4 linked regions of the Arabidopsis thaliana genome follow. The protein of the gene in region 2 interacts with the protein of the main gene of each other region in a pairwise test. Each region holds a gene or a part of one and is shown on either strand. Other genes may lie near its edges. The genes, in order: ACA2, CNGC10, IREG1 and NHX3.

Region 1 (7,898 bases), on a different chromosome or scaffold from region 2:
CGAAACCTATCGAGTGTTGCAATTCAGTTTCTTATGTAATTTCTCGAAATCTGTTCTTGCATTCTAGGAAAAGTCCCATCTTAATCTTTTGAAGAATATATATATATATATATATATATATATATATATATATATATAGTCGATAATAATTTCGGTTATATGTGCCACTATGTTTTATACACAACACCAAACAGCCATAGCATAAATGCATAATTACATTGTTTATGTATACAGTAGACCCTAATTTGTTTCTCGCATATAAACCCATATTCATTCGCTAATTTGGTTGTTATGCATGCCTGTATGCTAATTAAGATTTATATACTTGGAGAAAACATCTTCCCCATGGTTAGGATTGTTTAGCCCCAGAAATGAACCGTTAACTTATCTTTTTCGATTAGTAATGAAATGATCAAATATTTTTACAAAAATATTCTACTATCCTTCAATTAAGCCATAGACAAAAAAAACCTGTAGGTCTCCCATCAATCACACAAAGGTAAAAAAACAGACTTTTAGGTGACCAATTTCGTACCATTTTGTAAAATCTAAATCGGAACAATGTAGAGCAAATGATGTAGAAAATATCATACATTATTAGAACCAACTCAATCAAACCTAACTCAAAATAATAATTTTGACATGACTATTCCCACTAAAACTACATATAAGTGACACCGGCTAAAGTTTTTTAAAAATTGTACGGCATACCAAAATCATGGAGGTTGATATGATATGTGTAGAATCATCCGAAAAATATATATTTGTGAATTTACACAAATTTATGGGTCATCAACGTACGTCTAGACCTCTTTCAAACAACTTTTTATGATTGCAAAATGTTATTTGGTTAATGGATTTCGTAACACAACAAATATCTCATCAACGAACTTCGTCCACCACTTGAATATGAAACCAAGCTGGTTTTCTTAGTCCCATATATAACTGAATTTTTCCTTCCCTAGTCACACTTTTAGCGATAGCAGGAGCAGTGACATCAGTCCGAACCGCGACCAAGTGAAATTACAACCTTCAAAACCGTTGCTAAACTGTGATTTTTTTATTTTTTTGGTAATGGCTAAACTGTGAATTTTATCCAGCAGATCACAGAATCTTGGCAACTTATGGGGTAACGAACTAGCTTCCCATGGCAGAGTGACAATCGGAGACCACAACCACACGAGCAACTTCAACGTCATCCCACAGCTGTTCCAATGCCTGTCCAACACATAACTCAGCAGAATCGCTTAAAGAAAAAAAATGATTAACAGTTTTATTGTTTATTTTTCTTTCTCAAAAGCATCCCAAATATTTTAGAGAAGCAAACATATACCAGAGCCCAAAATTTGTTAGGCCCTAAAGGCCAATAAAGCAAACAAAGCCGTGTAAAGAAAGATCTTAATAGCTTTCAAGGCCTATAAAGGCCCATTCTAAGCCCAAATCTGCATGTCCAACTTTTTTGAAAGTGTCATTTTCCATGAAGTCAAGGTAAACGCATTATTCAATTGGAGAAGAATAAAAAACACTAGTTATTGAACTAGAATGATGAACAGAGACATAAGCAATTAGTACCAAACGAATAATAAAAAGACATAAAGCAATCAATGTTTTTGAGTCCAAATAGAACCAATGGGCTTGGTCCAACGTGGCGTCCCCGAAGTGTCGGGTTTTTTGCAATAGTCTCTGGGTCAACGGTCCTCCAATTTCTCTTTATTTATATAAACGACCCCATTTCTTATTATTGTCAAAAATCACCGCACTTTTGTCCCACAATTGTCATTCAATTTGGTCAAAGTGAAATCAACGTGAGCAGCCAAACAACAAAAAACCAAAGCTACGAAAGGTAAACTTCTTAGAAAAATCTTGCAAAATATGGTCCAATTAAAACTCTCTGTATATTATATTCCATTTTTTTCTATACAGTATATATTATATTGAGTAAATCTAAAAATTACGTCATTTACTCATCCATAGTATTTTACTAGTTTTTAAACCTTTTTTTTTCTGTAATCTTCTAATTTTTTTAATTATAAAATGTCCACATTCATTCACAAATTTGGGAATAAAAACCAATCATAAACTCAACAATAATAACATAAACGCGTAATGTACTCGTCATGGCCTGCATGAATGTTTCAAGAATGATTTAACGTTCGTTATAAATGGAAAGTAGTGCATGTCTTTATTTAATTATTCTCTTCAATAATAAGTCGAATGTTTTTATTAAAAATGTAAGAGAAACTTTGTTGGACACACGAATTTAAAACGAGTCAACTCAGCTTCTCATCACCAAATGTTAATAAACTCAACGACTCGGTCAAATGCTTAAGCAAAAAAAACTCAGATCTTTGAATAAAAAAAAACTTTACCTTTCTTCTCCATTAAAAGCTTCCGATTTCTCTTCTTCACCCACCAAAAAATAAAAAGGTTCCTTTTTTCTTCTCCACCAAATATACAGAAGAATTTGAAACAGAGAGCCAAACAAAAAAGCCATTGAAGCTGGAAGACAAAAAAAACAGAGGAGATTGAAGAAGAAGAGGGAGTAAGAAGATGGAGAGTTACCTAAACGAGAATTTCGATGTGAAAGCGAAGCATTCTTCAGAGGAAGTGCTTGAGAAATGGCGTAATCTCTGTGGCGTTGTTAAGAACCCTAAACGTCGGTTTCGTTTCACCGCTAATCTCTCTAAACGCTATGAAGCCGCCGCGATGCGTCGCACCAACCAGGTTTTGTCTCTTTTCTTTTTCTTCTATGTCATCGTTGTTAATGATTTTGTTGAAATCTTCGAACTTTTAGATGGATTTTGTGTATAGCGATGAAGGATCTTAAAAACTTTCTATATACAGGAGAAATTAAGGATCGCTGTTCTTGTTTCCAAAGCTGCTTTCCAATTTATCTCTGGTGAGTTTATATGTGATCAAAGTTGCTGATTTGTGTCAAAGTTTCGATTTTTGTTTGTTTGTTTGTTTGTTTATGTGAGTTTTTGTTGTAGGTGTTTCTCCAAGTGACTACACTGTCCCTGAAGATGTCAAAGCTGCTGGCTTTGAGATTTGTGCTGACGAATTAGGATCAATTGTTGAAAGTCATGATGTTAAGAAGCTCAAGTTCCATGGTGGAGTTGATGGGCTTGCAGGTAAGCTCAAGGCATCTCCCACAGATGGCCTTTCTACTGAGGCTGCTCAGTTATCCCAAAGGCAAGAGCTTTTCGGAATCAACAAGTTTGCAGAGAGCGAAATGAGGGGTTTCTGGGTGTTTGTATGGGAAGCTCTTCAGGATATGACTCTTATGATTCTTGGTGTTTGTGCTTTCGTGTCTTTGATTGTTGGGATAGCTACTGAAGGATGGCCTAAAGGATCACATGATGGTCTTGGCATTGCGGCTAGTATTCTCTTGGTTGTGTTTGTTACAGCTACTAGCGATTACCGCCAGTCTTTGCAGTTCCGTGATTTGGATAAAGAGAAGAAGAAGATCACTGTTCAGGTGACAAGGAACGGGTTTAGACAGAAACTGTCGATTTACGACTTGCTTCCTGGTGACATTGTTCATCTGGCGATTGGAGATCAGGTTCCTGCTGATGGTCTTTTCCTCTCGGGATTCTCTGTGGTGATAGATGAATCGAGTTTGACTGGTGAAAGTGAGCCTGTGATGGTGAATGCGCAGAATCCTTTCCTTATGTCTGGAACCAAAGTGCAAGATGGATCTTGTAAGATGATGATTACTACAGTTGGGATGAGGACTCAATGGGGAAAGCTAATGGCGACTTTGACCGAAGGAGGGGATGATGAAACTCCACTGCAGGTGAAACTCAATGGAGTTGCTACCATCATTGGCAAAATTGGTCTTTTCTTTGCGGTGGTTACTTTCGCGGTTCTGGTGCAAGGAATGTTTATGAGGAAGCTTTCAACGGGAACTCACTGGGTCTGGTCTGGTGATGAAGCATTGGAGCTCTTGGAATACTTTGCTATTGCTGTGACAATCGTTGTGGTTGCGGTTCCTGAAGGATTGCCTTTAGCTGTGACTCTAAGTCTTGCGTTTGCCATGAAGAAAATGATGAACGATAAAGCTCTTGTGAGGCATTTAGCAGCATGTGAGACTATGGGATCTGCAACGACGATTTGCAGTGACAAGACTGGTACACTCACAACCAATCACATGACCGTTGTGAAGTCTTGCATTTGCATGAATGTGCAAGATGTAGCAAATAAAGGTTCTAGCTTGCAATCAGAAATCCCGGAATCTGCGGTGAAGTTGTTGATTCAATCGATTTTCAATAACACAGGAGGCGAAGTTGTTGTCAACAAACATGGGAAAACCGAGCTTTTGGGGACGCCAACAGAGACTGCTATATTAGAGTTGGGGTTATCTCTTGGAGGTAAGTTCCAAGAAGAGAGGAAGTCTTACAAAGTGATCAAAGTTGAGCCTTTCAACTCCACAAAGAAGCGAATGGGAGTTGTAATCGAGCTTCCTGAGGGAGGACGTATGCGTGCTCACACGAAAGGAGCTTCCGAGATTGTTTTAGCTGCTTGTGACAAAGTTGTAAACTCGAGCGGTGAGGTTGTTCCACTTGATGAAGAATCAATCAAGTATCTGAATGTTACAATCAACGAGTTTGCTAATGAAGCTCTTCGAACTCTTTGCCTTGCTTATATGGATATTGAAGGCGGGTTTTCGCCGGATGATGCAATCCCGGCTTCTGGATTTACTTGCGTAGGGATTGTGGGAATCAAAGATCCCGTACGTCCTGGAGTTAAAGAATCTGTTGAGCTTTGTCGCCGTGCTGGAATCACTGTGAGGATGGTTACAGGAGATAACATTAACACCGCGAAAGCAATTGCTAGAGAATGTGGGATTTTAACTGATGACGGTATAGCCATCGAAGGTCCCGTATTCAGAGAGAAGAATCAAGAAGAGTTACTAGAACTGATTCCAAAGATTCAGGTGCTTTTTGTTTCATGAACTAAAGACTTAATTTTTTTTGTTTAGTTTTTGAAACATAACCTTTCCTATGTTCTTATACAGGTGATGGCTCGTTCTTCACCAATGGATAAGCATACACTTGTGAAACAGTTAAGGACAACGTTTGATGAAGTTGTTGCTGTCACTGGAGATGGAACAAATGATGCACCTGCACTTCATGAAGCTGATATTGGACTAGCAATGGGAATTGCTGGAACTGAAGTGAGTATATGATAAGATTTTGTTATGTCATTTGTGAGAGCTAAAGAATCTAAAAGTTTCTATCTGTATAACCTTTTAGGTGGCGAAAGAGAGCGCTGATGTCATCATTCTCGACGATAACTTCAGCACGATCGTCACAGTTGCTAAATGGGGACGTTCTGTTTACATAAACATCCAGAAATTCGTTCAGTTTCAGCTTACCGTTAATGTTGTTGCACTGGTTGTTAACTTCTCTTCAGCTTGTTTAACCGGTAGGTTTAGTAAGAATACCAATTCAATGTCTCGAAAAGAATCATTTTGGATTCCTTGTTTGACACAGCTCTTATGATAATCTTCAGGAAGTGCTCCTTTAACTGCTGTTCAATTGTTGTGGGTGAACATGATCATGGACACACTTGGAGCTCTTGCTTTAGCTACAGAGCCACCAAACGACGAGCTGATGAAGCGTTTACCTGTTGGAAGGAGAGGCAATTTCATCACTAATGCGATGTGGAGGAACATTTTAGGACAAGCTGTTTACCAATTCATCGTAATTTGGATTCTCCAAGCCAAAGGGAAGGCTATGTTTGGTCTCGACGGTCCTGACTCAACTCTCATGTTAAACACTCTTATCTTCAACTGCTTCGTCTTCTGTCAGGTAAAGAACAAAGATTACTGATAACAATACTCGAGCTATAAAGATAGATTCTTGACATGACTTTGGTTCTGAAAACTCCAGGTGTTTAACGAGATAAGCTCGCGAGAGATGGAAGAGATCGATGTTTTCAAAGGAATACTGGACAATTACGTCTTTGTGGTTGTGATCGGTGCAACGGTTTTCTTTCAGATCATAATCATCGAGTTCTTGGGCACATTTGCAAGCACAACACCACTCACAATAACACAATGGATCTTCAGTATCTTCATAGGTTTCTTGGGTATGCCAATCGCCGCTGGACTGAAGACGATTCCCGTTTGATCGTTCCATCAAAATTGGCTCGAAACCACTCTTTAAAGATCTCTATATTAGACCAGTTACTTCAAAGTTTAGAACGGACAAGTCTTCTAACAAAGTTTTTGCATTATGCAATGACTCTGTTTTTTATTCTTGACTTTTATTTTTCAGTTTGATTAGTGCTATTAAGGACAAATATCTGATTTCCTCCATTTTTGTAAAACTCTCTGTATCTTTGAAATGACACTTCTCTTTTCTTTCTTTTTCTCATTTTTGGAATCTAAATTTGGTCTCTATTGAATGACAAATGCAAAAATACAGAAAAAGGACATTGAAAAAACAGAGGAAGCAAAAGGTTAAAATAAGAAAAATGATTATTTGGGTACAAAATTGTTATCTAGCCAGACTGTAATTTGATATACTTAGAAAATCTCTCAATGAAGTCATGGCTTTTAGTGGGAGCCTCTTCTCCTGACATCATATCTCATCAGTCAAAACTGATTCCATATAACAATTCCAAAGCCTGTCAATCTCAAAACTGTAATAAATAAGAAAGACTCTTCTTTAAGAAAAGAAAAAAACATTTTTAAATGTTATCAATTTAGGATCTCTATGAAGTAAAACCATTTTTTAGATTGAAAAAATGAGTATACTATAGTCATTTGTCCCTTGTAGGCGTATAGGTAAATTATAATTTCTATGTGAACATTAGACCGGTAAAATATTCTATAACTAATTGTTTAAGTTTGTGATCGTGTGAATAAATGTTCATAAATAAAGGACTAATTAATATCTAGAATGAAAATAGAATTTACATAAAGATTAGTTATTTTTGTGATATTTCAATCTCACTAGTCATTAGTTTATCCATCTCCTAACCAAAGTGAGAGTTGTAACTAAATTGTGTTACCCGTGAATCTCACATATGTCTACACAAAACCCAACAGAAACAAAATGGTTTAACTCAATGATAATAAGCAAAAAAAAAAAATAACAATTGGGACATACTAATATTCATTGAAAGATAGGCAACAGAAAATTCAGAAGCATTAACTAGTTCTTGGTGAAGTAAAGCTTGACCCTTTATGCTTCTTGATTTGTTGAATAATCTCTTAGAGCAACAAAACATTGGCCTTAAACCACACACACATTATCTTTAATTATATTCTGTCAGTACTTTATGCTTCTTAATTTGTAAGAATGCATTTTGTTTGTAATAAGTCTTTTAATTCGTTGCTAATCATTTTGGAATTAAAGCTTTAATTAATGGAACCAAAACTTTGGATCCCAAGTTGTATTGTATGAGACAGTTGTTTCTCACTTAAACAAGTCGTTGGGTTGTTGTTTCTTCAGTCTATTACACATATGTTTTTTTTTTTTTTTCTCAACTGCATTTCATTGAAAATATTAACAATAATCCTATAAACACACACAAAAAAAACAATCTACCTCTATATGTACGAGTACGATGCACTTTTGACTTGCGCGTAGAATAGTACGTTAACTTAAAAACATCACATGCAAATTTCTGTATAAATTGGGGTTTCATCTTTAGATCCAATCATTGATCCAAAGTACTTCCACAGTTCCACTACAAGTTGTTGGTTTCTATAATGCTAAAGAAAACTTATTGGAGCAAAATATATATCCGTTTTAGTTTATCGTGATCGACTGATTGTCAATTCGTAAAAGTAGTTATCTATCAAAGATAAGTAACGATGATTTTTCCTAAACAAGAAAATTTTCTTTTTATTTGATTAATTTTTTTCCAAGATATTATATATTGAG
Region 2 (7,192 bases):
ACGAATCGGAGCCGCACACTTTCTTAACCTGACTGCAATCAGACGGTGCTAGATGGACCACGTAAAGCTGCCTCCTCCCGTTATCCTATTCCACAAGTAACCAAACGAAATGGCCAATTTGTCCATACATTCTGTAATTCTTTTTTCCTTTCCGAAGTAATGTATTTATCGTTTCACTCGTAAATTTTTGTAAATATATTATTCATATGTTGAATATTATGTAACTTTCATTCTTTAGAAATGATAATCTCTATACGAAATTTTAGCATGAAACTAGATTATAATTTGGTTGACCATAAAAATGAACAATGAAATGGATTAATAGATTTTTCCGAAAACAGGTTAATCTTACGATCATGAAGAGTGATAAGGTTTAACATTATCTTCCACTCCGATCAATCTTACGGAAGAAGAGATGAATTTGGGGATTAGCATTCTCTCAGGTGGTTGTTGATAAAAAAGAGATGAAAGTACTCTAGGGTTACTTGTAGTATATATAAACGCAAGCTCAATATGTTGGTCTGCTTTATACAGGAGCGGGACTTAAAAAAAGGAAACACTGAAAACCGACATACGAAAGAGACGTTGATATTATACCGAACAAAACCAAAAGGAAACATTGGTTGGTTTGCTTTGATTTCTCAAGGAAGAAGAGAGAATGAGTGAGATGTTGTTGGAGATTAGCATTCTCCCTCAGGTTTTCATTATTAGGTTCTTCCAAAATAAAAAGGAAACTTTCGATTGTTTCCTTCTTCAAGAAAAGACATAAACGCAAAAAAGTTTCTTTAAACTCGGGAGTCAAAACAAGTTTAAGTAAAGTCCTAAACCTGACAGACCTTCTAACACTAGCCATTCTCTCATAACCAACCCCAGTTTTGCTATGCATTAGCTTGAAAGCTAAATATGCTTTTCCCACTTTCCTCAATGCATTGATCATCAGATCGAGTCTCTAACTATACCTCCATGTGTGATGCTGAACTGAAGTAGCCAAAGTTAAGCGGCGCATAAGAGCCAGCCATTATTTCAATTTCTGTTAGTTGATAAACAATTTTTTACATTTTATTGGTTCAAAGTTCAAACCATTGTTTTTACACTTTATTCCACACACTATACACATGCAAGAGAGATCTAAGGGTCAGTTGTATGATTGGCGGTGAAGTCAGGCTCGGTGGGTTTTTGAGGTAGCAAAGGAAGAGTGTAGCGAGGAGGAAGGTTGGAGATATTGTGCCTCAGATTGTGAAGCGCGTTTGATGCGAAACGCGACGCGTAAAGAGCGCCTCCAAGGCTCAAGGACGACGACACGGTTGCAGCATTGTGTTCTTTATCTTGACTAGCGAGCGCTTCTCGGAGACGATCTTCTTCATCGCGTAGTGACTTGGCTAACTTCCTCCGACAGTATCTCCTCCACGCTGCTTGTATAAAAGACACGCTCCATGTTCTCCATTGCACTGAGTAAAACCTGTATATATAATCAAGATCCGGTTAAGAAGATCCAAAACCGAAAACAGAGCCAAAGAAGCTGATGGGAGTGACCGAACCGAAAAGTATGTTGGAGTTGCTTGCTATGGAGGCGTCTGAATTGTGAAGCGACAGACTTGAGATCCTCAGCTGTGAGAGCAAAGGCTTCGACTTCAGTGAGAGCTTGAACTGTTCTTGTCGAGATGGGAAAGTGAGAAGAAGATTGAGGATCTAATGCCCACGGGAGAAGATCTTCTCCGCAGAAATCACTTGCCTTTAGGTTCACGGCATTGAAGAACCCACTTCTTCCTCCATTAGTGGTGGCACTTACCAGTCTTCCTCTCATAACAAACAACATTTCCCCAACAGGATCTCCTTCACGGATCACGTAACTGTTCTCGGTGTAGAGCACAGGTCTTAGCCTATCGCAAACCGCGTCAAGTAACTGCTCATCCATTATCTCAAACAAAGGTACCTACCATAAACATCATATAATTTGGATTCTGAGGGTTCTTTAGTTCAGTTTATGGAAGAAAAAGAGAGAAAGCTTGTTACTCACTTTCTTGAGGAGATCGAGGCAAAGATGGCGTTTAATATCTCTTCTGAGGTCTTTAGGGAGGTTACGAAGAAGGGTTTCTTCTTCAACTCCTCTTGTCTCTTGCCATCTATATTGTTCATATCTTCTGATACGTTTCCTCAGGTCTTCAGGTAACATTCTATGAGACATCCACTGCTCTGCATCTCTCTTTCTCACCCTCATTTCCTCTTCTCGAACTGTTGTTGACTCCAAATATTTCTGCAACAGCAAACAAAAATTACATGCGTGTCCTGAGTAACTTATATGTAGCATTATGGAACAAGTCCAGAAAATGAGAAGCGATTATTTGAGGCTAATACCTGCATATTGCCGATAAGTAGAGCAAATAAGACTAGTCCAGATATGCAGATTGATATAGCAAATATGATTTCACCAACGAATTTGCTAGTTTGGAGATTCTGTCCCAATGCACTGCAACAACAAAAGCAACTTGTGAGAATGATGACTTGTTTAAATTGTGACAGATATATATGCTTAAGATGCAAATATAAACAGGTCATTTCACGGCTTAAAATCTCCAAATATAGCTAGTTAGTTATTGTCAACAGTTTTATGTGTGTCTTACAAACCTCAGATTTCGAAGACCCCACCAGAAGCAGTAGAAGAATTTCTTCCAGAAATCATGTGATTCAACAACGCCACTCTTAAGAGCATCAGTGAAGATGCCAAAGTTGAAGATGGTTGAGTTTGTTATATCACCAGGGTCGAGAAATGGGCAAGAAGTGGTCAGGAAATTGTTGCTAACGTTACGATCGTTTTCACAGTAGAGGAATTTCATATTACAACCTTTTGTCTTCTCGCATGCCTCTTGCCAGCATCTGTCTTCTCGTTCTACTGAGATTAAGTACCATAAAGCTCCAAACACCTGAATAAGTAAGTTTAACATATAACCTTTAATATGCATTTACATGTATAAAGATTCAGTCATCAAAAGATCCGAAACTCACATGACTGGCTAACATATAGAGAGAGAGGTTCCAAGCAGCTCCAGCCCATGCTGTTTCAGTAACAATGCCAGATGTTCTTGTCACTTCAGTGTAAAGCGGATACATACGGAGAATCCGAGGAACATATTGAGCAATTATGGAAAATTTAAGGTAGTCTTTTGTTAGCAAAGAGACTGGCTGGTTGACGCTTGGAATAACGGCTAAAACTACTATCTGCAAAAGTTAAGAAGCCAGAGGATTCAAAAAGAAATGATCATTGACATTTTGAACAAGTAATCAAACTAGTCATTTACCTGTGGGAGAGGAAGGATAGAGAGTAGATCAATGATGAAGTAAGAAGAGAGATACTTTAAGGCTATTGCCTTAGCATCATCTACCAGTTCACCTCTTCCAAAAACCCGCGAAGAAGGAGCGATGTAAGCTGTCCTGAACTGAAACACAATGTGAATAATGTAAAAGGCATCGATGAGCGTACGAAGCAAACTCGCAGCTATCTCCAACTTTGAGTCCAAAGTAAGACAGTGCCTTGCGCTATCGACAATGGGAATGTAGAAAAACAATGGATCAATCGCCAAAGCAACCACACAAGCAAATAAAAATATTTTGTTCCAGTTCTGGAGAAACGAATCCTGCGGGTTTATGATGTTCTTCCGAGTAACACTAGATGTTTCCTTGTGGTCAGGATCCTTATGTGAAGGGAAACTCAATGGCTTCTTGAATCCCCATTTTACATTCTTGAAAACTCTATCTAAAGAAGGTCTAGCTTTTCTTCCATAACCATATTCAGAGGATAATGGTTTGCCTTCATCTTTGAACCTAAACAAAATCATAAGAAAATGAGATAGTAGAAAAAATCATTCAACTATGAACTGTTTTCAAGATTTTCTGTAACTACCAACCTTACACGATTATCATGGCTAAATGCCATCAGCCAAACCCTTGTATATTTCAACTGATCTTTCGCTTACAGGGTGACGAGTCCTAACATTATAATAAGAACCAAAACTTAAGACATACGAATTCTTCTACATGATTACGTACAATGATAATCCCCAATACCAATTAAAAATAAGCAAGTAGACACCTAACTACAAATACAATTGTGTTGTGTGTATGTGTTTTTAAATATTTCTTTCTTGAAAAGGTTAATTAGAGAACCTAGAATCAGTCAATTTCCACCTAACATTAGATTATACCAAATCCTGTAATTCCTACCCATTCCTGCTCAATAAATGGAAACCACACGAACAACTTAAAAACACTGTTCATCAAAGATAAGAAATCCAAATTTCAAAAAACCATTGACCATAAACGAAAGACATATATCTAAGCGTTTCGGTTCTGAGAAACAGCAAAATAAATTCAGACGAAAAAGAACAAAAACGGAAATCGGAATCAAAATTCTATCATCAAACTAACCTGAAACGAAGTAGGTAACGGCGAGATAGTAAGATTCGGCTAATAAACGGAAGTCGGTGAACGGCGTTTTCTTCAATTCAAGCAACTGGTCCCGTCGTCGCTGGAAAGAGAGAGAGACTCATATGGCGGTTACTTGTATCTCTCTCTGTATATTGTTTCCTGGAAAAGTAGTATATGAGAATTTTATTATACGACAAAAAGGGAGGGAAAGAGGAATATTATGCAATTAAATATTATAAAGTCTGTTCAATTGAAAATCATTTCATAAAACAATTTCATTCAGATGAATGACTTGGTCAAAGTCAGACGGCGAGAATAAGCAAGTTGCCAAATTTTAAGTACCGGGCCCATTATGAATATTGAGCCCATTTAGATTCATGACCCAAAATGAAGTAACCGCCCCACCATATGTTCCTTATTTCTTTTCTCTTCACACTGATTTATTTTCTGTCGGAAAATACGGACGGCGTCGTCGTTCTTTTTGACGGTGTAGCTCACCGGCGTCGATTTTTAGATTTTTTTTTAAGGTAACATATTCTTCCTTGTGTTTAATCTCCATACTTTTGATCTACTTTTCGTTCTTGTTTAGTCTTTAGTGTTGTTCGAGCTTTTGTCTCCAATTTCAATCAATTCAAAGGGTTTTTAGATTCCAAATTTTGTAGCTTCCGTTGACACATCGAGTTGTCGAACTGTGTTTCGGATTGATCTGTCTGGAGCTTCTATTTCTGCTTCCTTATCTACTGTGAATGAAATTGCCACCGATATAGATAGTTAGCTAGGGTTTATTCGTGAGCTCGCGTAGATGAATTAGGAAGAATTCAGGTGATCATTTTTATGTTGCATTGTCTATTATTGTAACTGAATCTGGAGAAATTTTGATAAAATTGTTGTTTGACTCAGTGCAAACAAATTTACAAGTTTTCAGGAAATTGACTTAATACTAATCTTGAATTTTGCAGGGAAACACTAAGCAGCAAATTACAAGTGGGTGATTTGTGTTTGTTACATAGTCTTATATCTAACTATGTCAGATTCTGGTGAGCCTAAACCTTCTCAGCAAGAAGAACCTCTACCTCAACCTGCTGCCCAAGAAACTCAGTCTCAACAAGGTTACATATACTTCCTTCTATCTCAATTCTAGTTGTCGTCTCATTGAGATTTTTTCTTGTTCTTCGTTGTTAGCTAGAAATTTTCATTTACACTAATCAAATCATTCTTCTGTTTCAGTTTGCACTTTCTTCAAGAAGCCAACGAAAAGTAAAAACATAAGAAAAAGAACCATTGACGCTGATGAAGAAGACGGAGATTCGAAAAGCGAAAGCTCTATTCTACAAAATCTAAAGAAAGTTGCAAAACCCGATAGCAAGTTATACTTTTCTTCTGGACCATCTAAGAGTTCTACTACAACGAGTGGAGCTCCTGAGAGGTCCGTCTTTCACTACGATTCATCCAAGGAAATCCAGGTTCAGAACGACAGTGGAGCAACAGCAACCCTTGAAACTGAGACCGACTTCAATCAAGACGCACGAGCTATCCGTGAGAGAGTTCTTAAAAAAGCAGACGAAGCATTGAAAGGGAATAAGAAAAAGGCTTCTGATGAGAAGCTGTACAAAGGAATTCATGGATATACAGATCACAAAGCTGGGTTTAGAAGAGAACAAACAATCTCGAGCGAGAAAGCTGGAGGCTCACACGGGCCATTAAGAGCTTCTGCTCACATAAGAGTGTCGGCTAGATTCGATTACCAGCCAGACATTTGCAAGGATTACAAAGAAACCGGATACTGTGGATATGGAGATTCGTGTAAGTTCTTGCATGACCGTGGGGATTACAAACCAGGATGGCAGATAGAGAAAGAGTGGGAAGAAGCAGAGAAAGTTAGGAAGAGAAATAAAGCTATGGGAGTTGAGGATGAAGATGATGAGGCTGACAAGGATAGCGACGAAGACGAAAATGCATTGCCCTTTGCTTGCTTCATTTGCAGGGAGCCTTTTGTTGATCCAGTTGTCACCAAATGCAAGCATTACTTCTGTGAGCATTGTGCTTTAAAGGTATGATCATCACAATTACGAGTCTGTTTTTTTTTTAGTTGTGAAGAAATGTGTGAAACTAGCGAGTTTTGTTTAATGTAATGATGCAGCATCACACGAAGAACAAGAAGTGCTTTGTGTGTAACCAACCAACAATGGGGATTTTCAATGCAGCACATGAGATCAAGAAGAGAATGGCTGAAGAACGGAGTAAAGCTGAACAAGGATTGTGAAGTCCTTGTTTCACTGGACAAAAAGGCAAAAACTATATTTGGTTATTTACTTGAGGAAAGCTTTTTGTTTTGTTGTACTCACTGGCCTATATATATTCATTCGGATGACGACGATAGTTGTTTCAAACTGATTAACTTTTAAATTTAAACAAACTGAAAATTGAATCAGAGTTTTGGAGTCAACTTCCTAGTAAATCATCGTCAGAATAATAGTCGTCAAACTCGATATCCTGATTCACATATTTTGATATAGAAATTTGCTTCCCAAATTGAAAACGCGGTCGTTTAATAAACAGGCCAAAAGTAAAGTTCCTTACCAAACTTTTTAATCTAATGGGCCCGTGCGCTAAGATACAGTTAATGGGCAACGCGAATCGGCCCATAAATAAACCACACCACAAGTAGCGGTAACAAGGTAGTTCTATGGGGTAGAAAACGCATCTGAACAGGTAATTATTTGTCCTACAAGGTTCGATCGAATGTTCTCATCTCTTTTTTTCTCTCTGG
Region 3 (6,707 bases), on a different chromosome or scaffold from region 2:
GAGTCAGGTAGGTTATACAATCTCTATTTCAGACATATAACATTAAATACATACAGTCATTGGTTATTTATATATGTATGTATGTATATTGTGTACTGTTTTATAGGTGTGTGTATGTTGTAATGTAAGTAGATTCCGAAATTTGCAGTAGTTTTACGGAAATTTGTGTGTAGGAATGTTTCGTTCTTTTTTTTAGCTCATAGAACATTCTTTTAGTAGGCTATGTATGTGTATTTGAATACATACATAGATATGTATTGTGTGTTCTCAATCATTTGCAGTGTCCTTTGACTGTATATTTGGTCATTTGGATAACGAATATCTATGAGAATCAGCTAGTTAGTGCACTGCACACACTTCAAAGGTAATATTTGGTTTCTAGAGGACTGAAATGATATGATGGTTTGCTTGCTTAGTACCAATAGGATGATCTTCACAAAAATCATTTGCAGGCATAACTGAGTTTCAATTTGAACCCAAATAGAGTAGTTGGATCGAGAAGGAGGATTGGAAGTATGGCAATCCTCAATCCTCATATGTAAATCAGTTGGAAGCCTACTTAATACTTGATCTCTATTCTCGGCTGGCACCACCTGTATCCTGTCTGAATACTTGATTATCGGGATCAGACCACATCGTCCGCGCAAAATACCACCCGGAACAGCACCACCATAAGCAACAGCCTCGACCGGGTTCACACCTGAGACGTTAGGGCTAAAAGAAACTATATGAGAGTGAAAAATCCTGAGATATCATTCTTGATTACCGTTATAGTGTCTGAACTCAAAACCTTAGACGAACTCATGCTACTAAAAAAAACAAGGAGACGAGAGCGAAAGAATGCAATTGTGAAGAATTTATGATGGCCTTTATATAGACAGAGCTCTTTATTCAGTAACCGTTATGAAATAGCAAGGAGCTAGTCTTAATTTCTAGTGGGCTAGGGAAAAAAATAAAAAAATTCTAGTGGGCTTAAGAGCTAGGCCCATAAGATATTTTAATATTATTTTATACAATGAGACCAAACCAAAACCAAACAAGAGATTGAGAAGAAAACCGATTTTTTCCTTTTATTTATTTTTATGTTTATAAATTAAAAATGGGAAAATCGATTCCCGTCAAAACAGGGCTAAGAGGAGCTTCCGCAGCAGTAGCTGGATTCATCAAATCCTCAAAACCGATCCGACCCATTTCCTCCATGGACAGTTCCGACAAAGATTCATCATCCACCACCACCACCAGCGAAACTACACGACGTTTCGTTCCGCTTTCATCGGTGGTTTCTGATTGTGCGAAGCGGTGGTTTAAAGACACTCTTGAGGAAGCTAAAGCTGGGAACATCACTATGCAGGTTTTGTTAGGTCAGATGTATTACTCTGGGTATGGAGTCCCTAAGGATGCTAGAAAGGTTTCGTCTTTATTCCCTCCCTTTCAATCTCTTCTTTTCCAAGTTTTAGGTTTTTTTAGTTTGGTTGATTTGAAAATTCTCTAATTTGATTAGATTGATTTGCAAGTTTCTTCTTTTTTAGGTTTTTGAATTTGATTCTGTGTTTTATTAATGATTAGGGGAGACTTTGGATTACGAAAGCATCAAGAGTTCGTTCTTCAGTGTGGAAAGTGATAGATAAACGACCAGGTCTTTGTTTTATTACATGTCAAAATTGGTTTATCAACAAATTGGTTCTTTTTTGCTTTTGGATATGAATTTGTTTTTTTTGTGATTTCTCAGGTTACAACGCAAGTGATTCAGATTCAGAGTCTGATTAGCATGTCCTGATCGAGAGAGCTTGTGTTTGTTCTGTTTTGTTTCAATCTTGGATGATCCAAGTTCCAACAATGAACAATATCTTCTCTCTGCGCATATCTTTTGATGCTTGCTAATCATTTTGTAGCTCTATTACTCAAATATGTCTTCTTTTTTTATTTTGTTTAAATTTTGGTGAATGCCTTTGCTCACAGTGTATGATTATTCTAGCAATGAAAAGGAGTTAAAAAAGGTACTCGTATTGTTTTGTTACTTTTTCTATGTTCCAAACTCCAAAGTAAACAATATCAGCGGGGTAAAAAAAAGTTCAGAAGAAGAACATCCATTTATACTACTTAGATCCATTTCGTTCGATAAGTGATTTGTATAACAACGAACTTATAATTTCTCCGATGACTTAGAATAGGCATTGGAAAGACTGGCTTGTTTTCTTAAACCAATCTTAAAATCTAAAAACCATAAAATAATGTAATTGTATCATAGTCATTTTGCACACAAAACCATAAATATTCCCAGTGCCTAGTGGGAATCTGTTTTTTGCTCCACTAACAAATTTTCATCCCTTTGGAAATAGAATCACCAATATTAATAGGACCACTCTAGAACAAAGTAATACTGAGTTTCGTCGATTCTTTTTCCATCATTCGATCAACAAAGCTATTTCTGCGGCGCTAAAATAAGGTTTTTGTTTCTCATTTATTCCTAGAATCATCGTTTTTTGTTTTCAGGATAAACTATTGTTAATATGGCAGTTCATATTTATCGCAATTCTCGAGGACGGCTTTGTTGTCACACACTAAAACGCTCATGCAAATGATGACTGTAGAAATATCTACAGATGTCATGTTTCATTTGGAATTCAATACGTAATCAACACCTAATCGCTTGATCGATGTTAAATTCGAGACTTTCCAGCAGAAAATGGAGAATGAGACAGAATTGAGGGTTGTTCATCAGGAAGAACAACAACGCGAAGAAGGAGAAGATGAATCACAGCCACAAAACCCACCACCAGCCTTACGACGTCGTTTCGTGATATATCTTTACGTTGGATATTTTCTTGCAAGATGGAGTGCCAGGTAGGTTTCCATCAATCCTTTATCTCCAATTATTTTGAAACTCTTTTTTTTTTTTTTATTGTATGAAGATATAAAACTTTATTCATAGTGTATTAGTGTTAGACGTTTTGAAGATGATGGACTACTTTCTTTTCTTGGTTTTGTGATGCAGAACATGGGAATTCTCTGTTGCATTGTATATGATCCACTTGTGGCCAAACTCTCTGCTTCTCGCTGCCATTTATGGTGCTATAGAATCTGGTTCTACTGCAATCTTTGGTCCCATTGTGGGGCAATGGGTCGAGGGAATGGACTACGTTAAAGTTCTTAGACTCTGGCTCCTGTTCCAGAACCTCTCCTACACTATTGCTGGTGGTGCAGTCATCAAGTTGTTGCTAGTTTCTGATCTTAAGTCCCGGAATCTCCCGGTGTTTGCAATCTTGATTGTGTTAACGAATCTTGCTGGCGCCATTGGAGTTCTTTCGACTCTTGCTGGCACCATTCTGATCGAACGAGACTGGTAAATGTCTAGACTGTATATATTTGCAACACATGAATGCAATCTTATGTATAGTGTCATATTTGCAACATGTATTTCTTTTGGCTCTTTTGGCAACCAACAGGGCTGTGGTTATGTCTGAAGGTCATCCACCAGCAGTATTGACAAAAATGAATTCTGTCATTAGAGGCATTGATTTGAGCTCCAAGCTACTGTCTCCAGTCATTACTGGTCTGATCATCAGTTTTGTCTCACTTAAGGCTTCAGCGATCACTTTTGCAGCTTGGGCTACTATAACAGCTTGGGTTGAATATTGGCTCTTCATTTCTGTGTATAGCGGTGTTCCTGCAATAACACGAAGCAATGAGAGACGGATCTTGCGTTCCCGGACAAAGCAAGTAGAAGGAAGAGATGCACCTGTTTCTGTTTCTATTGTTCCGGGAACAGAGGAGGGTTATACTGGAAACCCTCCGTCTAGAACCGGAATCTTGGTGATACTGGATAGAATGTCCAAGTCCTCTTTTGTTGGCGCATGGAGAATTTATTTCAATCAAGAAGTTGTCCTCCCCGGGGTTTCTCTAGCTCTCTTGTTCTTCACCGTCCTCAGGTTCCTTTTCTCTTTATCTATATGTTTAAGAGTCCTCAGATGAACATGCATATCCTACCGATTATGTGGATCATTGTTGTTTTATTTACCACCTTGACACAGCTTTGGAACATTGATGACGGCTACATTGCAGTGGGAAGGTATACCTACATATATCATCGGTATAGGCAGGGGAATAAGTGCAACGGTTGGACTAGCGGCTACATTAGTGTATCCGCTAATGCAATCGCGTCTCTCAACTCTGAGAACCGGCCTCTGGTCCTTCTGGTCTCAGGTATATCAACTTGAAAACACACCTATGGTTTGATTCATCTGATTGGTTACAGGTTATAACAAGTCTTTTTCTCATTCTTCACTAGATATTAAGTGTATCATATATGTACTTGACCATGTTATGGAACTCGAGTAAAACAAAAGAGTCATAAAAGTAGGGTTGTTGTTCATACAGTGGAGCTGCCTTTTGGTCTGCGTTGGATCGATTTGGGTTAAAAAGGATAAAATAGCATCTTACATGCTAATGGCTGGAGTTGCTGCTTCAAGGCTTGGCTTGTGGATGTTTGATCTTGCCGTCATCCAACAAATGCAGGTATGTTTACATTTCTTTAGCTTATATAGTTACAGCACACGTATTCTTTAAAGACTTATAATAAGAACGTTTCGTAATGTTTTTGGTCATGTGTTAGGATCTTGTTTCAGAATCCGACCGTTGTGTGGTTGGAGGTGTTCAGAACTCACTGCAATCGGCTCTTGACTTGATGGCATATCTTTTAGGTATCATTGTCTCCAATCCAAAGGTAAATAAATTCCAGTTTATATTCTAAGGATCCATATATAGATAATGACTCTTTTTATCCATCAAATGCAAAATTTACGTTTTCATACAATCAAGGTCATAATATTTATGGACTTTTTTATTTCAGGATTTTTGGATATTGACGTTGATCTCATTCTCCACAGTATCGTTGGCAGGAATGCTCTATACAATTCACCTCTACCGCATAAGAAACCATATTTTTCATCTTGAGAAGATTCCTTTGTTGAACAAATGTATATTCAAGTTGCTCCCTTCTCGTGGAAACGTGTAATTCATAATGTTGTGGAATGTGCCACGATTTCTCCGACATGGATAACTAGAAATGGGGTGGTTTTATGACATGACCATAAAGCAGCCAAAAATGAATCAAATGGCTTAAATGATTGGTTAAATAGGTCAAAGATATAGTCAAAAGAAAACACCCACAAAATAGGTCAGTGACAATTTTGTGATGTGTTAAAGACAACTTTCAGTGACAATTTTGTGATGTGTTAAAGACAACTTTCCTCCGTTTTTTGTATGAATTCACTCTGTTTTGTATGAACTCACTTTTATGTAGTTCTATAATAACAATGAAAATTTTCCATTTTATCTTTTGGGAATAGAATTCTGTATTAAAAATCAATACTGAAATAACATTCATCATTAGTAGTAGAAACAGTTGAAAACTCCCAGATATTTGTGTTTGCTTAATAAAGTACACACTCCATTATTATATGTTAATAAAGAAACATTAAGAAGATTGATGAAGTCTCTTCTTGGCATTCTCTGCTTCATCGGTTGCGTCAACTTGCATTTTTGTCTCCGTTAGATGAGCCTCCGTAGCTTCCTTCTCGTTCTTTGCCGTCAATCTCTTTGTCTTCCAAACCAAAATAAAAATAAAAGATTATAACAAAATGAAACTAATCAATAAGGAAATTAACGAGACACCAAATACGTCAAGTGATCATTGATTCAAGAAGACCCATGAGTCTCTGATCCGCTTGTTTCAGTGGCTCGAAACAAGACTCTTGTATACGCACCTGGCCAACAAAAAAGGCTTTGACATAGCTAAACCCTTCCTGGCATGTTACTGCCATGGATAAACAGTTAGTCTTCACTCGATCGGACAAAGACTTCGCCGGCTGTCGTGATGTCTCGGCGTCTTGCATCGCTGCTTTTTCGAGATAGATAGATTGCTTGAAACTTGAAAGCAAGACTAGGAAATATCTCACTTTCTTGTGCCAATGATGATTTTTTTTAACTATTAATGATTCTGGAAGCAACTCTTGCCACGTCTGTTTTACGTGTTAGCTGTAGAGATACCGACGTGTATTAAAGCAAGAGGCTATTTTACTTTGGGCCTTTTGGGCTTTTGGGCTGAAGAAAGAAACTGTCATCGGATCAACAAACACTGCATAGTTTGCAACTTGCACGGTAAAGCGACACAAAATCCATGACGTTTAATTTAGGTTCCACGTGAAGAACCATACCACATATCGTGCAATAAGAAACTGATCACTTTTATATACCTAAACGATTTACAATTTACACTACTATGCTTGACACGATATGTAATTTTTTTTTTTTTGCCAAAGGGTGTTGTTATTGATATTAAACATTGTACAATACAACGTACATAGACTGTTTATATAAAACAAGGACGTCTAGATAAAAAAAGCAAATAACAAATATTACAAGACTAGTTAAGGAAACAACAAACTGAGTAAGGTTTTATGTACAAAACAGAGACGACTACCAAAGAAGAGGGCCAGACGTGGTAGCAGTGATGGAAGACAAACATCCTGACATCTCAATAAGAACATTTATGGCTACTTCAAATACATATATACACAATATGTAATTCTCTTATTACATTTATGGCTACTTCAAATACATATATACAAAAAAAAAAGGCCTACCTTCGACAGAAGTTATACCAATTTATTGATCGGAAGCTACAAAATGTTATCTAGGGTCAATTT
Region 4 (7,394 bases), on a different chromosome or scaffold from region 2:
TACGTTTGTTTTGTTGTTCCTTCTGTAACACGCAGCATGAAGAACTGAGCTGAAGTCAGGCCCAGTCTCCCACAGACTTTGTCTTGCCCTGAAGTCTCTAAGCTATAAATATGTCTTTTGCTGTTCTGATTCGCATAAATATCAACTTTGCAGTGATTTTTCAGTCACCTTATCTATTATATAGATGAACCATGTTCTACTATTAATGAAATGAAATAAAGTACTTGTTTTTTTGCTAACTCCATTGTGTACTACTTTCTTGAGTATTTAAAAATTGACTCCTTATGTATCTTCCGTGCAAAGAACCCAAATCATAATATTAAGAGATGTAAAATACATTTGACAAATAACAAAATAACTAGGCATTTGTAGTTGACAATATTTGAAAGTGACTACACAATATGATAGCATCTTAACATTACTTTTTAGATCTAATGTTGTCTTAATCCATTACTAGTAATGTCGAAATGTACTCTGTTTCTCACATTTTTATTAAATTTTCATTTATGAAAAGAGAGAGATAGAGCAAAAAAAAAGCCAATAAGTCTCCCACATGTCTCTTTGCAACTTGCAGATATTTCAACTCAAAAGACGACTTGACTTGACTTAAGGTCCATATCATACTTATGGTTGAACCAAGAAAAAAAAAGAGACGACTAGACTAGTAGAAGACTAATGAGTCTGCAACCCATACCATACGCTCAATCTAACTTGTATAATAAGCTCATTAGATTTAAGGATCATATGGAATAGTCAAGAGAGAATGGATACGAACAATACCAGAACTGTGAAATTTGCAGCTCTTGCAATAGTTTTAGCCGCCTTGGTGTTGATGGAAGAACCTACGAGCATTACCGCATGTAACATCAACGCAAACCATCTGGAAAAATGTCGTCCAGCCGTAATTGGAGACAACCCGCCATCTCCAATCAAAGAGTGTTGTGAACTCCTCCAAGCCGCTAATCTGAAATGCATCTGCAGATTCAAGTCTGTTCTCCCCGTTTTAGCGGTTTACCCATCTAAAGTCCAGGCTCTTCTGAGCAAATGTGGCCTGACAACAATCCCTCCTGCTTGCCAAGGTAAAATCAAAATACCATTAAGATACTAAAAACCGGTAGACTAGTAGGATCCCAATATGAAGTATGAAGTAAAAAAGGCTTACGTTTTGCTGTTCTGTAAGTGCAGCTTTGAGGAACTGAGATGGAGACAGACCGTTCTAGCAGACTTCACTCGAACTTGTCCTGCAACTGATCTGAAGTCTTACAATATGTCTTATGTTCCGATCCAAATAAATTACAAACTCGCAGTAATAATCGCAGCTTGTGTATATAGAAGAACCTTGTTGTATACATTTAACAAAAACTTTAAGAAACTGTTTTAGCTAAACCAACTATCCTACTTTCTTGACTATAAAAAAAACTAACTCATCATGATTTCCCCGCGGAGAACCCGGATCAATTCTGCAACACAAAAAGAGAGAATTGTTCGCTTATCATGATGAATATTGTAGGCACCTCTTCCCGGATGTACTTATTAATTCCGGTTACACATTATTGATCAAGTGAGGTGCGTTTGCTGCAAAATGTATAAATTTGTGTGGTAATAATGGAGGGTATACCTAGCATTCTGGTTGGTTTTCTCGACGAGGTCCACCGAAGATAGGCCTCATGTATGTGTCGTCAAACTTTCTCCAGTAGCGGTGGATGGTGTACACAGGTTGTTCCATCAGAAGGGAAATACTATCTTTAGCTCTATTGAAGTTGGTGGAAGCAGACTCGTCAAAGGAAAGAAGAGGAAGTGTCGCATCTTCTTTCGGAGAACCTGGCTCAGTGCGTTTACCTCTATTTCCGGTGTTGTGACTTGCATCTTGAGGAAGGAGATAATTCACAAGTGGTTTTGTGAGGAAACCAAAGACCTGTTTGTTACATGACAAAGAAGTCATTCTTTTGATCTTAACACAGAAAACTACCAGAACCAGTAGGGCCATATACTAAGGTAGTATTTGTTTTACCAGTGTAGTAAAGAGAACAACGATAGTGGTGTTGGTGACCATGGCAGCATTCACAGGATCCAATGTAACACCGGAGTATGTGAACTTGGCACATGAAAGATATACCAAAATGAGATATAATGGAAATGTTACTAATTCAATGTAAAAGTAATACAATAGAGATTAGAGATAATATGAATGTGCAAAGAGAAAAACCTGCTTGAAAGCCAGAGCAATTGAGACAGCACCTCGCATTAGACCTGCCCACCAAATGATCACCTATAAAGTATACAAAGAGAGAATTATATAACAGAAACTTTCCCATTCTCGGACCATTATTAATTTTTTATTTTAGTGCTTCTGATAATGTAACTGTAACAAACAAGAGCTAAACCTGATGCTTAAATGTGATAGACTCGTTTCTTTCAGTGTGCCTGTTCATGAAATTTGTTAAGACCGAGAGTGGAAAGACAAATGCTGCTCGTCCAAGCAATACTAATGCGGTTATGACACCGGAGACACCCAGAGTACCCCCAAAGCTGCAAGAAGATGATTAATGTTACAAGTCTTCATTGGGAAGAGATTTCAGAAACAACGAGTCACCACCACAGCTTAACTAACAGTTAATTGGCGATTAACTTCGTGTCAAGAGAGAAGAAGACATAGAGGATGTCTTTGGGATAATCTTGATTCTAGGTATGCATTTAAGAAATACACGAGGTTCATATCAAAATGCTGTGTATTGTTTTGACAAAACACTCTAAACGCTCTACCAGCTGATAAATGGATACGACTTTATACCTTAAGCTGCTTGTCTTCCACTTTGTAAAATCAAGAGCATCTGTTCCAACATACAGAAATATGAATGTCTCCGCAATAAAGGACAACATTGCAAATACATGCCTGCAAAATATAGATGCACAGTCAGACAAAAGCAATTCCTGCAAATTGAGACTTCAGCGAATAAACAATTGTCTGATACATTGCCTGGAAGTGATTCTTGAGCTCTCTGTCACGTTATATGATGCATAATGCGACATTAAAACACCACAGAAGAAAACAGTAAGAATTCCACTTAATGAGAAGAGCTGCAAGAGAACAACTATATTGAGTTAAAACAGAGAAATGCAGCACTTCAATTCCAAATGAAAACTAAAAAGTAGCGTTCATGACCAGTGTATTACCTCAGCCAACATATATGAAAGGTAAGCCATTAGAACCATGATGGCGAGTTCGCGTGTAGTAGAATGTCTGTCAGCAACCATATAACAAGATCAATATAAAGGCACATCTTATCACTAAAAAAAAAAAACTTAAGCTTGAGATGAAAAATTTGCAAGTTTGGTGTACTTTTACCTTCCAAAATACAAGGTTTTAAGAACAAAAGATGTTATTAGCCCCACCTGCAAGACATTCACAGTTCTAAGATTACTCATGATATGCTTCAAACAGAGTAAAAAACTATGCCAACTCAATAGCTTACACCAATTCCGAGAAGTGTGCTTGTTGAGAAGAGGTACAAAAAGTTCCCAAATACTTGCAGCGCCGTCCAACCGGTTAGGCTTTCAAATTGAATCTTTTGCACGGCGTTGAACAGTACAACTGAGGTTGCATCATTCACCACTCCTTCTCCAAAGACTAAGCTGTATAGCAATGGTGTTTCATCTTGATGGAGAATCTGTAAAAGTTTAAGATGCAATGTAAGAAAAAACTTTTAATAGAAGAAGTAGTAAGACAAAGAATCTTCTAAATCAAGAACCTGTAGAGTGCAAACAGTATCAGTTGATGAGAAAATCGTTCCTATGGCTGAATCAAAACAAGAAAGCATTCACTCTCGCAAACTGATAAGTAATAACCATCTCAACAAGAAATGAAAAGAAACATAGATCAGTGAAAAATCTTACCAAGATAGTCTCTAGCACTCAACCCCTTAAATCCCAACTTGGGAAACAGCCACCAAGTCCCTGGTTCACATTATAAAAACAACAAAAATAGAGATGGTAACAACTCCGAGATAATCAACTTTAAATCATATAGTCAAGTCATTCAAAGATTAATGAAATATTTTTTACCAAACGAGATAATGACAGTGGAGATGAAAACTCCAATCACACCAAAGGACATGATGGTTAAAAAGTTGTGAAAAAACTTCTTTTTCTTAACTTGGAACCTGCCACAACAAACCAAAAAATCTTCAGTCAATCACCATCATAGTGTAATCTAACCCATTAACCACAACATAGTAACCAAAACCATAGTAAGCTTACCCAGCATTGAAGATTATTGGAGGAAGAAGGTAAATGAAGAAGAGTTCTTCATCAAACACCAAAATATGTGAACTTTTTCCTTTACTAATAAGTAAGATCACTGTTCCTGATGCTGCTCCCTACTTGCAACAAAACCAATCAAAAATAGTGATAAAATTGTTCTTTAAGAGCAGAAAAGCTCAAAACTTTAGCTAAAACAAAAAAAAGAAGAAATTTTGAAGAAAATTACTACTAAAATGGCGGTAATAGATTCATTAACCCATCGATTCTCTTCAAGCAAGTGGCCGATAACTAAACATAGACAGAGAATGGCGATGAACACTGAGATTGGTATCACCTGAGGATGCTCAGCTGCTAGTTTATTCGTCACAAACTCTGTTAATCCGATACTCATTTTTCACTCGATAATGTTTTCGATTTCGTCGATTTTGAAAACACCAATCGCAAACGAAGAAGGCACACAGAGAACGATAGAGAGAGAGACGAGGAAAGAGTCAGAGAGTGAGGAGAGATTTGAACTGCGATGAACAAGGCGGTGGTTACAGGTGGCGAGGAGACGAAAGACACGTGGCATGTTTCCAACGTCATCAGACTGAGTAAACGTGAGGCTTTTTGGAATTGTACTGCATCTTGGGCCTTTTTAGGGCCCAAAACTAACTCATCATGTATTTTTTTCTTACCGGATTTGGGGATTTTTTTCTTTTTTCTTTTTTGGGTCTAACTAACTCGCGTAAATTGTTGTTCTTTTTCCTTAATTTATTTTTACCTCTTGTTCTTTATTCTGTTTATATAAAATTATGAAACTTGAAAACTCAATATTTATTACAACGAATTATTTGGTGAAGACTCGAACCAATCGAAATAAAACACTCTACTGAGTAACGGTCCCGGTTGCAACAGCCAAGACGCTAGAACGTGATCGTTTCGTTTGGTCGTGTTTTGATGACGTAAAAAGTGACTCAGCGACCTATTTCACCACGTGTAATCTTTAACGACCATGTTCTAGGACCTACCTGACTTTTAATCGATCATCCACCACCGCCTTCTCAACATTTTTTAAGATACTAGTATCATTATAGCTATAATATAAATTAAGAAACTTGTAAATATTATAATTAACGTGAAAACATAGAATTCGGATATATAATGTGTATATTAGATAAATAATAAATCTGCTCATATGTGATATGTATATGCATATATCATATATGTAAATGTAGCCATTATTGGAATGCGTATTGGGTAATGGGTAGTATCACTAGAATGATACAATTTTTCTTATATACAGAGAAGAGAAGAGGAAACAAGAAAAACAAATACGTTCCCCGCAGTAGACTTTTTATTTGTTGGTACCGTAGAGGAAAACAGATATACACCAATTACTATAGGAGTGATTAAGGGAGAAATTGCAGGGATATAATTGATATCTAATAGCCGTTTCTACACTAATCCTAATTATAACAAGACCAATGATTGACACATGTATATTGCAATTGCATGCATTATATAGTTTATTATTATGCTTGCTTATAGTTTAGCTGGTTTTGGAAACAAGTAGGTAGTAATAAAGAAAAACAAAGAGAGAGTAGGTCGTAATAAATGAAGAACGCATAACTATAAAAAATAAATACACAAATATATGTAAAACAATTGTTTGGTTTCTCTAGGTTGGAGACAACCAATCAAAAAATTATATTCTAATTTAAAATAAAACTTATTTAGTTATCCCATGAAAATTAAACTCTTGTATTCTCAAAAAAAAATTGAGTCAAAATTACACTCCCAATATTTTCTGTCTGCAATAAAGATATGGAGACACATTGAAAAACATTTTAGTTTATTTATGAAAAACCAAAAAAATAAAATTTTAGTTGATGTTTTCTTTTTAAAGTGGAAAAATGTGTCAAAAACAAAAAGTCGAAGTTCTTTTGTTTTCCCTTTTAAAATAATCAACGATCATATAAATTCGAATCCCACAAACCAAAAAGCTCTCTCTCTCTCTCTCTCTCTCTCTCTCTCTGAGTAAATCTCAGTTTTTGGTCGAAGTTGGTGAAGTCGCCGCCGGGACAACTCAGGTTGTTACAGATGATAAACATGCGAGATAATCCAACAATGCATGTCTTACAAGCTTCAAAGTTTCTATTTTTAGCTCTTATTTTGATCCAGTTGCTGTCTACTCAACTCTTTGCTCAAAGATCTAAAAGTCCATGGCAAACACTCACTGGTTAGTGTCTTCTATCTCCTTCTTCTCCTATTTATTCAATACCCTTCACTGTTAATCAATAAATCAGTAGAAAAGTTGCTTCCTTTTGAATCGTTTCATAGAAATCAAAGAGAAAAATTTGGGGGTTTTCTGAGTTTCATCCAAAGAAAAATCGAAGCTTTCTTATAGGTTTCATCGGATTTTGTTTCCATTTTTGTAGGAGATGCTCCCCTTGTCATTGCTCGTGGTGGGTTTTCTGGGTTGTTGCCAGATTCAAGTCTCGATGCTTACAGTTTTGTATCGCAGACTAGTGTTCCTGGTGCTGTTCTTTGGTGTGATGTGCAACTAACGAAAGATGCAATTGGACTTTGCTTCCCTGATGTGAAGATGATGAATGCTTCCAATATTCAAGATGTTTACCCTAAACGGAAAACTTCTTACTTGCTTAATGGAGTCCCTACTCAGGATTGGTTCACCATTGATTTCAACTTCAAGGATCTGACAAAAGTTATCTGTAAGTTCACGCGTCTTTTTGAGCTTTAGTATACATTCTAATTTATTGGACTAGTGGATACTAGTTGTAGAAAGATCTTATGTTAATTAGTTTATCTATGTTTTAGGGGTAATTTGTCTGTGACATTTGATCAAATTGAGTAAATTTTAGTATTGTTAGATTTGATTGCTGCTGTTCATTGAGGTGTAACTTGCTTGAATCTTCTTCATACAAATCATTCTCATAGTGAAACAAGGAATATTATCACGGTCAGCGGCATTCGATGGAAACAGTTACGGGATATCGACAGTTAAAGATATATCTACGCAGTTAAAACCTGAGGGTTTTTGGTTAAATGTTCAGGTAGCTCTTTTGTCAGTAAGTTTCTTGTTGTTTTCCATTTTTTGTTGCAGTGAAAGCTCACTCTAATACGGCTGTTCT

The links.
Region 1: the proteins of CNGC10 (region 2) and ACA2 interact in a protein complementation assay, tested with the Arabidopsis thaliana proteins (one large-scale study listed by BioGRID).
Region 3: the proteins of CNGC10 (region 2) and IREG1 interact in a protein complementation assay, tested with the Arabidopsis thaliana proteins (one large-scale study listed by BioGRID).
Region 4: the proteins of CNGC10 (region 2) and NHX3 interact in a protein complementation assay, tested with the Arabidopsis thaliana proteins (one large-scale study listed by BioGRID).

Annotation. Positions count from the first base shown.
Region 1 is NC_003075.7:17,681,461-17,689,358, reverse strand, and holds ACA2 (calcium ATPase 2), read left to right. Parts: upstream 1-2,253; 5' UTR 2,254-2,550; coding exon 2,551-2,724; intron 2,725-2,844; coding exon 2,845-2,899; intron 2,900-2,990; coding exon 2,991-4,936; intron 4,937-5,017; coding exon 5,018-5,176; intron 5,177-5,255; coding exon 5,256-5,427; intron 5,428-5,514; coding exon 5,515-5,813; intron 5,814-5,894; coding exon 5,895-6,134; 3' UTR 6,135-6,500; downstream 6,501-7,898. UniProt on the Arabidopsis thaliana protein: This magnesium-dependent enzyme catalyzes the hydrolysis of ATP coupled with the translocation of calcium from the cytosol into the endoplasmic reticulum.
Region 2 is NC_003070.9:131,286-138,477, forward strand, and holds CNGC10 (cyclic nucleotide gated channel 10), read right to left. Parts: upstream 4,640-7,192; 5' UTR 4,423-4,639; intron 4,038-4,422; exon of another isoform or gene 3,985-4,037; 5' UTR 3,932-3,984; coding exon 3,903-3,931; exon of another isoform or gene 3,834-3,902; coding exon of another isoform or gene 3,820-3,833; coding exon 3,297-3,819; intron 3,217-3,296; coding exon 3,004-3,216; intron 2,922-3,003; coding exon 2,626-2,921; intron 2,468-2,625; coding exon 2,356-2,467; intron 2,255-2,355; coding exon 2,018-2,254; intron 1,934-2,017; coding exon 1,539-1,933; intron 1,460-1,538; coding exon 1,129-1,459; 3' UTR 985-1,128; downstream 1-984. Other genes in the region: AT1G01350 (Zinc finger (CCCH-type/C3HC4-type RING finger) family protein), read left to right, coding at 5,447-5,531, 5,650-6,473, 6,563-6,685. UniProt on the Arabidopsis thaliana protein: Probable cyclic nucleotide-gated ion channel.
Region 3 is NC_003071.7:16,100,917-16,107,623, forward strand, and holds IREG1 (iron regulated 1), read left to right. Parts: upstream 1-2,247; 5' UTR 2,248-2,446; exon of another isoform or gene 2,447-2,683; 5' UTR 2,684-2,686; coding exon 2,687-2,844; intron 2,845-2,995; coding exon 2,996-3,343; exon of another isoform or gene 3,344-3,375; coding exon of another isoform or gene 3,376-3,446; coding exon 3,447-3,929; intron 3,930-4,031; coding exon 4,032-4,203; intron 4,204-4,377; coding exon 4,378-4,515; intron 4,516-4,612; coding exon 4,613-4,723; intron 4,724-4,849; coding exon 4,850-5,014; 3' UTR 5,015-5,261; downstream 5,262-6,707. Other genes in the region: AT2G38450 (Sel1 repeat protein), read left to right, coding at 1,100-1,408, 1,567-1,636, 1,730-1,767; AT2G38465 (uncharacterized protein), read right to left, coding at 5,477-5,602, 5,766-5,894. UniProt on the Arabidopsis thaliana protein: May be involved in iron transport and iron homeostasis.
Region 4 is NC_003076.8:22,467,935-22,475,328, forward strand, and holds NHX3 (Na+/H+ (sodium hydrogen) exchanger 3), read right to left. Parts: upstream 4,773-7,394; 5' UTR 4,652-4,772; coding exon 4,487-4,651; intron 4,377-4,486; coding exon 4,258-4,376; intron 4,161-4,257; coding exon 4,063-4,160; intron 3,955-4,062; coding exon 3,895-3,954; intron 3,797-3,894; coding exon 3,750-3,796; intron 3,669-3,749; coding exon 3,474-3,668; intron 3,394-3,473; coding exon 3,347-3,393; intron 3,242-3,346; coding exon 3,175-3,241; intron 3,079-3,174; coding exon 2,978-3,078; intron 2,894-2,977; coding exon 2,792-2,893; intron 2,530-2,791; coding exon 2,385-2,529; intron 2,270-2,384; coding exon 2,207-2,269; intron 2,096-2,206; coding exon 2,012-2,095; intron 1,916-2,011; coding exon 1,619-1,915; intron 1,461-1,618; 3' UTR 1,311-1,460; downstream 1-1,310. Other genes in the region: AT5G55460 (Bifunctional inhibitor/lipid-transfer protein/seed storage 2S albumin superfamily protein), read left to right, coding at 764-1,079, 1,186-1,199; SVL1 (SHV3-like 1), read left to right, coding at 6,343-6,481, 6,681-6,974, 7,201-7,316. UniProt on the Arabidopsis thaliana protein: May act in low affinity electroneutral exchange of protons for cations such as Na(+) or K(+) across membranes. May also exchange Li(+) and Cs(+) with a lower affinity.